3 linked regions of the Canis lupus familiaris genome follow. The protein of the gene in region 1 binds, or shares a complex with, the protein of each later gene. Links are inferred from orthologs where the notes say so. Each region holds a gene or a part of one and is shown in the gene's direction. Other genes may lie near its edges. The genes, in order: GSK3B, FRAT1 and AXIN1.

Region 1 (4,367 bases):
GCTTCGGGCCAATGAGAAGGCGCTTTGTAGACGTCCTCCCTTTTCTTTCTTCTTCTCCCCGCCTCGGCGAGGGAGGAGACGTCCTGACTGGCCAGACTGTCGTCGGAAGCCCCCGTCGCCTCGCCAATCCCCGAAGCAGGTACACTCCCAGCGGAGTTTTCGGCCAATTACGAAGGCGGCCGGGGCGCCCAGCCGCGCCGTTTCACCAGTGACTCCGGGTTTCGCCGTCCTTAACTCCTCCAGCCTTTCGGTGAGGGCCGGCGGCTGTGATTGGCCGCCGCTGCCATTGTCGGATTCCCCCGCTGGCCAGCCGCGGGACGAGCCCCGACCTTCTTCTCGCTCGGCGGTCTTCGGCACTTTCCGCTCTTTGGGCGTGGACTTCCGGCGACACTTTGTAATTGGTTCCTCGGGCCGATCGGCTTTTTCCGGGAGGAGCCGCAGGCAGCCGACGTCCGTGATTGGCTGTGCCTCCGGCCTCGGTTCCGTCGCCGAAGCGGGCGGGCGCGGACCTCGGCCGGCGATTCCCAGACGCCTGTTACGCGGGTGGCGGGGCGCTGGGCGGTGGAAGGCTGGGTGGGGGAGGAAGGAGGCGGAGGACGAGTAGGAGGGGGGAGGGGGAGTGGGGAAGAGCTAGGCGGCTGCGCAGACGGCGCTCCTCACACAGAGCAGCCCCCGACCCGGGCGAATGCAGGCTTGTGCTGCCGCCGCCGCCGCCGCCGCCGCCGCCGCCGTCGCCCGGGCCGAGTGACAAAGGAAGGAAGGAAGGAAGCGAGGAGGAGCCGGCCCCACAGCCGCTGACAGGGCTCCGGGCTGGGGGCAAAGCGCGGACACTTCCTGAGCGGGCACCGAGCAGAGGCGAGGGGCGGGAGGGCGGCCGCGCTGGTGCCGCGGACGGGGGAGGGGGCCCCCGGGGACGGAAGCGGTTGCCGGGTTCCCATGTCCCCGGCGTATGGGGAGCAGTCGAGGATCCGCCGCCTGGGGTCTGAAGGGAGCTGCCTCCGCCGCCGCCGCCGCCATGGCCGCTGGATCCAGCCGCCGCCTGCAGCTGCTCCTGGCGCAATGAGACGAGGAGCCGCCGCCACCGCCCGCCTCTGACTGACTCGCGACTCCGCCGCCCTCCAGCTCGCCGGGCCCCCGCCGCCAGCCCGCCGGATCCCGCCGCCGCCGGAGCCGCAGCGTTTCCCGTCGCATCACCGAGCCACCCCCTCCCTCTCCCTCCCTCCTTCCCATCCCCCCTTCTTTTCAAGCGTGAGACTCGTGATCCTTCCGCCGCTTCCCTTCTTCATTGACTCGGAAAAAAAATCCCCGAGGAAAATATAATATTCAAAGTACTTCTTTTCAATCAAGTATTTGCCCCCGTTTCACGTGATATTTTTTTTAAGACCCCCCCCCCCTTCTTCCTCCCTTCCAAGGAAACGGAGGGGAAAGAATTGTATTTTTTTTCCCCCCAGCCCCAAATCATCTATATGTTAAATATCCAAACTGGTCTGTCTTGAAGGAGAAATACATCACTCGTTTTTTTTTTTTGTTTTTTTTTTTTGTTTTTTTAATTATACAAAAGGAGCGAAAAGCCAAGAGGACGAAGTCTTTTTTTTTTTTTTTTTTAATCTTCTCGTGGGAGAACTTAATGCTGCATTTATCGTTAACCTAACACCCCAACATAAAACAAAAGGAAGAAAAGGAGGAAGGAAGGAAAAGAGGGTGATTCGGGAAGAGAGTGATCATGTCAGGGCGGCCCAGAACCACCTCCTTTGCGGAGAGCTGCAAGCCAGTGCAGCAGCCTTCAGCTTTTGGCAGCATGAAAGTTAGCAGTGAGTATTGATTTTATTTTACGCCCCTTCTCCACCTCACCCTTAAAATAAGAAACCTTTAGTAACCAGGATCTTAAAACATTAGACCTCCTGATACTAATAATCAGAGGTATTGAAAAGGGCAAAAACCTGTCTTAAGTCCAGGGTTAGGCAGCTCCCTCTTTTTCTCCTCCCGCACCACCTCCCACCCCCCCCCCCCCCCCGGTCTCATTAACCTTGAATTGAGAGAATATGCTTTTTATTTGCACGATTTGATTTGGAACTTGTTTCTTACACTTTTTGTGCGGTTAGTCGTCCGCCTTATCAAGTGTGCTTGACTGTTTCTATGTTAAAACGGCGATGAAAGTAAATAGTTGCTCATCCCTTCGGAAAAAAAAGGGGGGGGGGAAGGACAAGACGATTCAAATTATTATGTACATTTGCCGAGTACGTGTCTTTTAGAAGGAGGGTTATTTCAGCTCAGGCCTCGGGGATTATCGTAGTTTCGTGTACTTGCTAGAAGGACTGTAAGTGTCACAGTCTCCTAACATTTGTTTGTTGCCTGTGTGACTACAAAGTATTTGTTCTTAATCCGGAGATGAACTTGCTCAGTAACTCGTATTCACGTTTGGAGGAGAGCCTCGAGTTCTCCCTTTAGAAAGGGGTCGGTGGGAGCTGATAGAGACCCAGTAGCAGTTGTATTGCTACAGGCATTGTTTTAATTGGATACACGATTTAATGTTATCTCTTAACCTCCTCGTTTTGACATTACCAATTTACCACTATATAATTTATGTTTAATCAAAAGGTAACTTGGAAGTAGGGCCAAGTTTTGATTGAGGTTTGTCTTGTCAGGTTGCCAAATACTAAGTTGAATGTTAATTGTCACTGACTCATCATTAAGTTCAGTTTTGGGGTGCCATTTGCATTCAGCACTTGTTCAATGATCTGGAGTTCAAGGGCCCCCTTCTAAGGACTATTTACCATAGTATTTAAAATACTCTTGCATTGGTTTCCTGCCGCAGTTAGAGAAAACTATGGATTTAGTTATAACAATCTGGATTTAGACCTTTCTGTCACAGGTTTTGCAGAAAGCTGTAGTCCGGGACATAATAAGGTATTTGAGCTTGTGTTCAGGGTTGTTGCTAGACTGTACTTTGTCCCAGATTTGTGCTAATAGTCTGTGTTCTTGAGGTGTTTGGTATACTAAGTATCTAGTGTTCCAAAGTATCTCTATTTGTAGATATGTTTATGTGGTATTTAGCGACAGCTTATTTAAACCGCACTTCCAGAATTTGACAAAAATATCTACATTGTTTCCTTATTCCTCTAGAAGGGGGCACAGTGAGGGCAAAGAAACTATTTTGCTGCCTAGGATAAGGAAAGAACTGAGATTTTTAAAAAAAATATGTAAATACTGTTATGTGAAATTGATTATATCCTTAAGCAATATAAACTTATCACTTTTAATTGAGCTCAGGATTTCAATTCATGTTGCCTTTTGGACATGCCTGAAACAGGGTGGTCTAAGGTAGTAGCTGAATAGCAGGTCATTTTTTAAAGTTACTTATTTTTGTGATTAGTACAGAATGCAGGATATGTGAAGAAAGGGGCTGATGATGCATTTTTCAGAGAAGAGTCAAGCTTTCTAAGCACTTCATGGGGTCATTTGAAAGGAATATTTTAAAATTCTGGGGTAATTTTCAGCTATGATGAGGCAAATCTTATAATAGCTACTTAAGAGCCTCTTGTGGTACTGGAGTGTTTGTATGTTTTTCATCTTGGTAATATAGTTTAAAAACCACTTGAAATCAATTTTAGGTAATTATTTTATTAGATCAATTTCAGAGAGCAAAACAGAATGGCTTATAATGTTAATTTTTGGACTTTTCATTTTGTTTCCAAGATTTCCTTTGAAAATGACTCCTTAATTCTTGGTAATGTGGATGTTGACTGAGGATGGAGTAACTCTTGTAAAGTGCATAGGTTAAAGGTGTTTAATTTTCTATTCTCATATGGGTCAACATTTAAAAATTGGAGTTCAATGCTAATTCTGTGTTTTTGACAATCTTAACTGTAAGGATTTTTTTTTTTTTTGGTAAGGACATTTTAGAAGAAAGAAGTATCCTTAAACATTTGTTACAGTGCTACTGTTTTATAAAGGACCCTTGTTCAAAACAGAGATATGTAGAGAAATTAATGGCCCCAATGGCTTATCATTTAGTCGTAGAAGCAGTATGGTACAAAATATGAAAACAATAGCATGATGACTGCAAGATTATAAATACAAATAGAATGCTTTGTTCAGAGGGATGAAGAATACAGGGGTGAGGCCTTCGGGTTGGAGAGGAAAGAAAGACTTGCTGCTGCGATGTGTTTTAAGACAGGTGTTAAAGGAGGCAATCACTTGAATTCATAGAGAAGCATAAAGGATTCTAGATGGAAGGAATGGACAGAGGCACGGAGATGGTGATTTTTCTATGGCAAGTAGATAATTTTTGTACTTACCAAGCAAATTGGTAAATTTGAATTAAAGGGGCCTAAATAGGAAAATAAGAGATAGGATATGGGAAATGT
Region 2 (3,425 bases), on another chromosome or scaffold:
ATGAAATTCATTCATTTTAAGAGAACATTCAATAATTTTCAGTAAATTTACTAAGTTATTCAATCATCACCATAATCCGGTTTTGAATATTTTTCTTAGCCTGCTAATATATCTCCCCTGGTTGGCTCTTAAAGACTGGGCCACCAAAAGTCCATCTACAAGTGTAGAGTTTGAAAGTGAGGTCTGATTGGAGATTTTTAAAGAAGGTTTTATTTATTCATTCATGAGACACACAGAGACATAGGCAGAGGGAGAAGCAAGCAGGCTCCCTGAAGGGAGCAAGATGTGGGACTCCATCTGGGAACTCCGGGATCACACCCTGAGCTGAAGGGAGACGCTCAACCACCGAGCCACTCAGGCGTCACTGATTTGGGATTTCTGAATAAGTCTAATACCTCCAGGCAACAAGACAGTAAGGGATCATTTTTCCATCCCTCTTCCTTTAAAAAAAAAAAAAAAAAAAGTCTTGGTTAATCATTAAGCCAACCATGATATCTTGAAGAGTTAAACGGATCCATATCTCCATTACCATCCAAACAACTCGTTTTCCTCTCCTGCTTCCCCTTCAGAGAAGACACTCCCCAGCTGCTGAGGCATTCTTAAAAGAACTTTCTAGCTCAGCTCACACCCCGCCCAAGACCAACGACCTCCTCCTCTCCAGGAAGGCCAGCCCTAGTCCAGGCCCGCATATACCCATGCTCCGGGTCAAGAAGCATTCATCGGGCCTTTCCCTGCCAATTCTAACGCTGCCACCGCTTCCCCACGCCCCGACCCCATCCAACTACGAGGTCCCGGTCTTCCTTTCCGTCCCTGTCAGCCTTGTTTCCCTAATCTCCGGACCGATCCCTAGCCTCAGATCTCCGCCCGCGCCTCGCTCGCCGGGGCAGCCCTTCCCAGACGCTGGCACCCGGACCTCCAAAGTGCAAATGCCAAAACCAGACGAGTTGACGCGCCTAGAGGAGGAGAGTGTGTGGGTGTAAGTGTCTGTGCTGGTGTGTGGAAGAAACCAACCGCGTCCACGCGGGTGTTCATTTTCGGGAAATGCCAACCACGCCCGGCTGACAGAGCGACGATCCGCACCCCCGCGCCCCCCTGCACGCAGCACTCGGGGTGGGGCAGCTCGGAAGCTGCTGGGCTTCACCCTGCGCCCCGGCCGGGAGGGCGCCCCGCCCCCAGCCGTACCCCGCCCCCCCGGCCCGGCGCGGTGGTAGGGCCCGGCCGCGACGTCACCCATTGTTTACAAATCAACCCGAGCCGGTAGGATTCCGGCTCCCGCTGCTGCAGGCGCGCGGCGCGAGTGCCTGGCGGGCTCCGGCTTCCGCGTCCGCCCCGGCCCGGCCCGGCCCGGCCCCGGCCCCGGCCTCGCCCCCGCGTCGGCCCCCGCCCCGCGCCCCGCGCCCCGCGCCCCGCGGCCCTCCGAGCCCCGCCGGCCGCCGAGCCGCCAGCGCCGGCCGCACAGCGCCGGGTGCCCGGGCGGGGGGCCATGCCGTGCCGGAGGGAGGAGGAAGAGGAAGCCGGCGAGGAAGCGGAGGGGGAGGCGGAGGAGGAGGAGGAGGACAGCTTCCTCCTGCTGGAGCAGTCGGTGACGCTGGGCGGCTCGGGCGAGGTGGACCTGCTGGTGGCCCAGATCGGCGAGACGCTGCAGCTGGACGCGGCGCAGGACAGCCCGGCCTCCCCGTGCGCGCCCCCGGGGCCGCCGCCGCAGCCCCCGCGGCCCCCGGCGGCCGTGCGGGCGGACAAGGCCCGGCCCCCCGCGCTGCCGCTGCTTCTGCCGCCCGCGCCGGCCGAGGCGGTGGGCCCGGCGCCCCCGGGGGCCCTGCGCTGCGCCCTCGGGGACCGCGGCCGCGTGCGGGGTCGGGCTGCGCCCTACTTCGTGGCCGAGCTCGCCGCGGGCCCCAGCGCGTTGTCGCCGCTGGCCCCTCAGCCCGGCCTTGACGGGCCCTCGGGAGCGGACAAGCGGGCCGCCCCGCAGCCGCTGTCGGGCCCGTGCCGGCGGGGGTGGCTGCGGGGCGCCGCCGCCTCCCGCCGCCTCCAGCAGCGACGCGGGCCCCAGCCCGAATCCCGCACCGGCGACGACGACCCGCACCGGCTCCTGCAGCAGCTGGTGCTCTCGGGGAACCTCATCAAGGAGGCGGTGCGGAGGCTTCATTCGCGACGGCTGCAGATACACGCAAAGCTTCCCCAGCGCCCGCTCTCCGGGCCGCTGTCGGCCCCGGTGCATGAGCCCCCGTCTCCCCGCAGCCCTCGGGCGGCCTGCAGCTTCTCCGGCGCGTCCGGGAGGAGGGCGCAGCCCCGAACTGGCGACGGCGTTCCTGTCCCTGGCAGCTAACGCCCCGGGAGTGGCCACAGCGCCAGCCTCTGCCTGGAGGGCAGGGGAGCCCCCAGAGGGCTACATCCCTACTCGGACGGACTGGTGAACTCGCGTTTTGGAAGCGGGAAAATAAGCTAATGCAGACGAGGAATGGAAAAACCGCGAATGTTTTCGCGGGGAACTAATGGAGGGCCCCCGATGCGTTTGAGAAACAGAAGAACTTGGGTGCCCTGTTTGAGGCAGATTACCGAGCGCACCCCAAGCTCACATCCAGTGGTACTCCCCGTTCGGCGTGGCCAGCCCCCGCGGTGCAGCGAGCAGATCCACGCAGCCGAGCCAGTGGGACCCTCCAGCCCAGCGGCCATGTGGCCACGTTCCACGCGTCTCTGGATCGCGCGCGCCCAAAGGACGAGGGTGACCCCAGTTACTGGCTTTACCTTTTCAGGGCTGGTTCCTGATCCACTTTGGGGGAGGGGAACATGAGTCAGACCATCATTTCAGGGAGAACCTCAAACTGCCAGACTTGAAAAATTTACGACTCTTTAAAAAACCCATCTTGTGTCTTGTGGGTGCTGGTTCTTAACGCAAAACACGCGGTGCCATCAAAGGACCTTTTTTGGGAGTTGAATGGGAGTAAGGTTCGCGCTGCCCCCGCTGTGCGACGGGGGGCGGGGGCGGCTGCGCGCCGGCGAGGGGAGGCGGGGGCGGCGGTGCCGCGGCGCGGGGAGGTGGGAGTCGGCGAAGTCTTCCTCTCTGGGAGATTTTCCCTGCGTCCCCCTCCTCGGGTTCAAGGTCAGGGTTCCCCCAGCGCCCGCGGGGGTGCGGGGCTCCCGTAGAGCGGAAGAGTTGCCGGGTTCCGCCTGTGCCCGGGAGAAGCGCCCGGTGCTGTGCAAGTGCTGGAGTCTCCTAAGGACGCGCGCCCCGCGGCCGCCGCCGCTGCGGGCCGAGGGGGACGTGCCGGGCCGGTGCCCACCGCGGCCCGCCGCGCCCCGGGCTTTCAGAAAGTGCCCCGAGCCTCAGCCTGGGTCGGGCCGCCCCCGCCCCCGCCCCCACCTCCCCGCCTCGGCTCGGCTCGGCTCGGCGGTCCCACTCCAAGCGGGTGGCGCTGGCGCTC
Region 3 (3,596 bases), on another chromosome or scaffold:
GGAGCCCCAGTTCCCGGAGGGCCTCCCCGCGCAGGTCTGGGGTGGTTTATGAGGAGCCCCTGCCGCGCATCCCTGCCCCTCCGTTTTGCCCCCGTGCTCACCCTGCTTCTGCACGGAAGCTCTCCGGACACTTGCTTCGAGGCCCTTCTTTGGAGAACACACATGGTCTGAACCTGGACTCGGGTGCTAGCCCTGAGTTTCAGTTTTGAGAACCTGACATTCAGGCAGGAGAATGGACAGGCGCGCAGAGAACGGCGTTGCTGTGGGATTTTCAGGAGGTGTGGACGCTTCTTGAGTTTCTAGAGTCAGAAAAGTAAGTGGAGTCCTTTGGGCTACATTGGTCCTTGAAAATTTAGGAGGTGGAGGAGCAGATCACCTTGTGGAACAGCGGCCCTAAGCTTTTCAGGGTTTAGGTACCGGACAGGACAGCGTCGCAGTCATGCTCTATTGCTTCCAGGCTCCTATAAATCAAAAGTTATGAAGTTAGGTTTTAGTGGGATGAACATGTGTCTATACGTGTAGCATGGAGCTGGCTGCTGTGGCTCCACGGGGGTATGGCTCAGCAGTGACTACAGGAGATTTTAAATGCCCTATCAGCCTTGTAGAGCATTCGTCGGAGCCGTGGAGGACTTTTATGGAATCCTTTTATTGATGGTGGTTCCAGGCTGTTGGCCAGATTCAAGGCTTGTGGGCATTTGCCTCTGACCTGAATTAACGTAACTGCTTTATGTGTGGTATGCACGTGCGTACACCAAAACGCTGGGTGTGCTTCTGCTGTGGGAACCTAGGGACGGCGGGAATCAGAGCGTGTTTCCATAATGTCAGTAACTTGGAGAGGTGTCTTTGTGCTTCTGGGGCCACCGAGGATCGTCTGTCAGTTGACAGCCGAAAACAGATGTGAGTTATAAGAGCTATTTCTCGCGGGCAATGAAAAATAGTTTAAAATGATCAGGGCGGTGTGGGGGGGAGCCTTGTTCACACGTGAATTAAAATGTTAGCTTTTAAAGATAGCCAGCTTTGTGAATAAAGGGGTAGATGTTGAGTTTTGTTGCTGTTTTTGTCCTGCTGTAGTTCAGCATCTATGGAGGGCTAACGTTTGGCATCTATGACAATTGTCGTATGTGTTCGTGCCAGTGAATAAGTGTGCTAGGTGTTGTGGGTCCTGCAGAAAACGTTTAATCAGGCTGCTACCAGTAACTTACACGGGAGATAGTTGCGTCTCCAGAGCAGGCGACGGTGACTTGTAATTAAGCTCCCGTTGAATTGCAGTGACTCGGTTCTTTCTCAGGACTGGCGAACTGGAATGTGTCTGAGGGTAGGGCTCAGGGCGCTGGGCGCGGGCCCTCCTTCCTAAGAAGGCGTCCTGAACAGGACGACATCAGGTGTCCATGAGCCAGTGTGGAGCTGAGACACCACAGGTGCCCATTCACGTTGACAGGGCTCAAAGAGAGGGACTTTGCCGTCGTCGGAGTCGTCCGTGACAGCGGGGTGCCCGGCCCGTGGGCCTTGACCTTAAGAAGCAGGCTGTTCCTGCTGAGATTACATACTGCCCGGTAGTTTTCACGAGAAGTCATTAGCTGTAGAAATGTCACCTGGGGCACGTTATTGTGACCCGTTCTCTGTCTCTGGGGGCTTTTCGCTTCTAGCCATCAGCATCTGCTGGCACACGCAGTGCGTGCAGTGTGAGGATGCAGCTGTGGGGGCGGATCGCCTGGTGGCCAGGGGTGGGGAGCGGTGGGCGGGGAGGGCTGCCCTTGGTGTTGGTACTAGATTTAAGGTGTTTATTTTTCTTCCTCTGGCTTATTCAGTGCTCTGGGTGCTTGGAGCTGACACGCTTCTCTCCAGCCCATTTCTAGCCAGACCACCTTGAGGAGTGCGGGCCGCCAGGTGGGGCGGTACAGCCCAGCTCGTGGGCAAGCTCCTGTGGGGCATGTCAGGGAGGACCGGAGACCGTGAAAGAGTCCCGACCCGGGAGAGCCTTCCTTCACACCTGAGGGGGGCTTGTCGCAGCAGCCACGCAACCTGTAGTCCCCAACCCCCGAGAGGATGTGTAGTTGGGATTTGAGCTTATGGAGGTGAATCACGCGAGCTGTGTGCTCGCTTAGTTAAAAGCTGTGATTGCATTTGGACTTCATTTTCTTTTTCCGGGTCTCCTCCGTTCTTCAGAATACTAAATTGCTATTTGCTATCAGGAGGGCGCTTTCCTTATAGGCGAGGTCAGAGGCAGCTTTGTGGTGGAAGCATGTTTTAATATTGTCCACACTGTGATGTGGGATGGCCACCATGTGTGTGGGGAGTCCTTGGGTGACCCACCACTGTTCGTACAGGTGTGTGTTGAGAGCTCAAGGAACACGTCCTTGCGTGTTTGCACACGTTAGGAAGCATATGAGGCGTGCAGCGACGGGGTAGGCAGAAAGCACAGTGGCCGTGGGCCCACAGGTGTGGGGAGCAGATGACTATCTGCCGTGTGCTGTGCGGCGAGCCTGCCTTTCCGTACCTGAGTATCACGGTGATCCCGCATCGCAGGTAGGGCGGTCATCCTCATCTTACGTGTGAGGAACCGGCTCTCGTCCCAGTTTTTGCAGCCCGGAACACTAGAAAGCACATCTCTTTTCTCCGGGCCTGTTGGCTTCCCAGAGCTTGCAGGGAAGGGCTTGTTGTGGCTGAGATGGGAGGTCCCCAGGCTGCTTGTGTCCGTGATGTTCTGGCAGAAAGACACCTGAGGGGAGTGGCACTCTGTGTCCCTGTTCTAGGCGTTCATTTTTGAGATCCAGAGACGTACCTGTGGTTGTAAAAGTTCTCACAAATTGTTTTAATATAGCATAAACCTTGTGACGAAAGACTGAAAATTTAAACTGAATTTCTGGCTTTGAGTTCGAGTGGGAGGGCATCATTACGAGTCTTGTCTTGAGAAAACCTCTGTGGTCATGTTTCCATGGACCCACCTTTCCTAATCCTTGTCCTCTTAATGGTTTCAACAGGACAGATTGATTCACTTTGGAGCTATAAGTACTGATGTATTAGGGTGCAGCGCTCATTGTTCATTGACGCACAGAGTCCCAAAATGAATATCCAAGAGCAGGGTTTCCCTTTGGACCTCGGAGCAAGTTTCACCGAAGATGCCCCACGCCCCCCAGTGCCTGGTGAGGAGGGTGAACTGGTGTCCACAGACCCCAGGCCCGTCAGCCACAGCTTCTGCTCCGGGAAAGGTGCCGGGGTCAAAGGTGAGACTTCAGCAGCCACTCCGAGGCGCTCCGACCTGGACCTGGGGTACGAGCCTGAGGGCAGCGCCTCCCCCACCCCGCCATACTTGAAGTGGGCCGAGTCGCTGCACTCCCTGCTGGACGATCAGGATGGGATAAACCTGTTTAGGACTTTCCTGAAGCAGGAGGACTGTGCTGACCTGCTGGACTTCTGGTTTGCCTGCAGCGGCTTCAGGAAGCTGGAGCCCTGTGACTCGAACGAGGAGAAGAGGCTGAAGCTGGCCAAGGCCATCTACCGCAAGTACATCCTCGATAACAACGGCATCGTGTCCCGCCAGACCAAGCCGGCCACCAAGAGCTTCATAAAGGACTGCATCGTCAAGCAGCTCATCG

The links.
Region 2: the proteins of GSK3B (region 1) and FRAT1 are in contact, whole or in part, in a crystal structure (PDB 5OY4), measured with the Homo sapiens proteins. The link is inferred for Canis lupus familiaris from reciprocal best matches to the Homo sapiens genes GSK3B and FRAT1. Residues at the interface, in NP_001139628.1 of Homo sapiens: Tyr216, Ile228, Phe229, Ser261, Gly262, Val263, Asp264, Leu266, Val267, Ile270, Lys271, Thr275, Pro276, Ile281, Tyr288, Thr289, Glu290, Phe291, Lys292, Phe293, Pro294, Ile296; in NP_005470.2 of Homo sapiens: His200, Leu202, Leu203, Leu206, Val207, Ser209, Gly210, Asn211, Leu212, Ile213, Lys214, Glu215, Ala216, Val217, Arg219, Leu220, His221.
Region 3: the proteins of GSK3B (region 1) and AXIN1 are in contact, whole or in part, in a crystal structure (PDB 4B7T), measured with the Homo sapiens proteins. The link is inferred for Canis lupus familiaris from reciprocal best matches to the Homo sapiens genes GSK3B and AXIN1. Residues at the interface, in NP_001139628.1 of Homo sapiens: Ile228, Phe229, Val263, Asp264, Leu266, Val267, Ile270, Lys271, Asn287, Tyr288, Phe291, Lys292, Phe293, Pro294, Gln295, Ile296; in NP_003493.1 of Homo sapiens: Glu384, Pro385, Gln386, Phe388, Ala389, Glu391, Leu392, Ile393, Arg395, Leu396, Glu397, Val399, Gln400.

The regions. Positions count from the first base shown.
Region 1 is NC_049254.1:24,302,985-24,307,351, reverse strand, and holds the start of GSK3B (glycogen synthase kinase-3 beta), read left to right. Parts: upstream 1-1,566; 5' UTR 1,567-1,723; coding exon 1,724-1,811; intron 1,812-4,367. UniProt on the Homo sapiens protein: Constitutively active protein kinase that acts as a negative regulator in the hormonal control of glucose homeostasis, Wnt signaling and regulation of transcription factors and microtubules, by phosphorylating and inactivating glycogen synthase (GYS1 or GYS2), EIF2B, CTNNB1/beta-catenin, APC, AXIN1, DPYSL2/CRMP2, JUN, NFATC1/NFATC, MAPT/TAU and MACF1.
Region 2 is NC_049249.1:10,818,475-10,821,899, forward strand, and holds FRAT1 (proto-oncogene FRAT1), read left to right. Parts: upstream 1-1,440; 5' UTR 1,441-1,483; coding exon 1,484-2,329; 3' UTR 2,330-2,865; downstream 2,866-3,425. UniProt on the Homo sapiens protein: Positively regulates the Wnt signaling pathway by stabilizing beta-catenin through the association with GSK-3. May play a role in tumor progression and collaborate with PIM1 and MYC in lymphomagenesis.
Region 3 is NC_049227.1:40,628,565-40,632,160, forward strand, and holds part of AXIN1 (axin-1), read left to right. Parts: exon of another isoform or gene 1-313; intron 314-2,981; 5' UTR 2,982-3,064; coding exon 3,065-3,596. UniProt on the Homo sapiens protein: Component of the beta-catenin destruction complex required for regulating CTNNB1 levels through phosphorylation and ubiquitination, and modulating Wnt-signaling.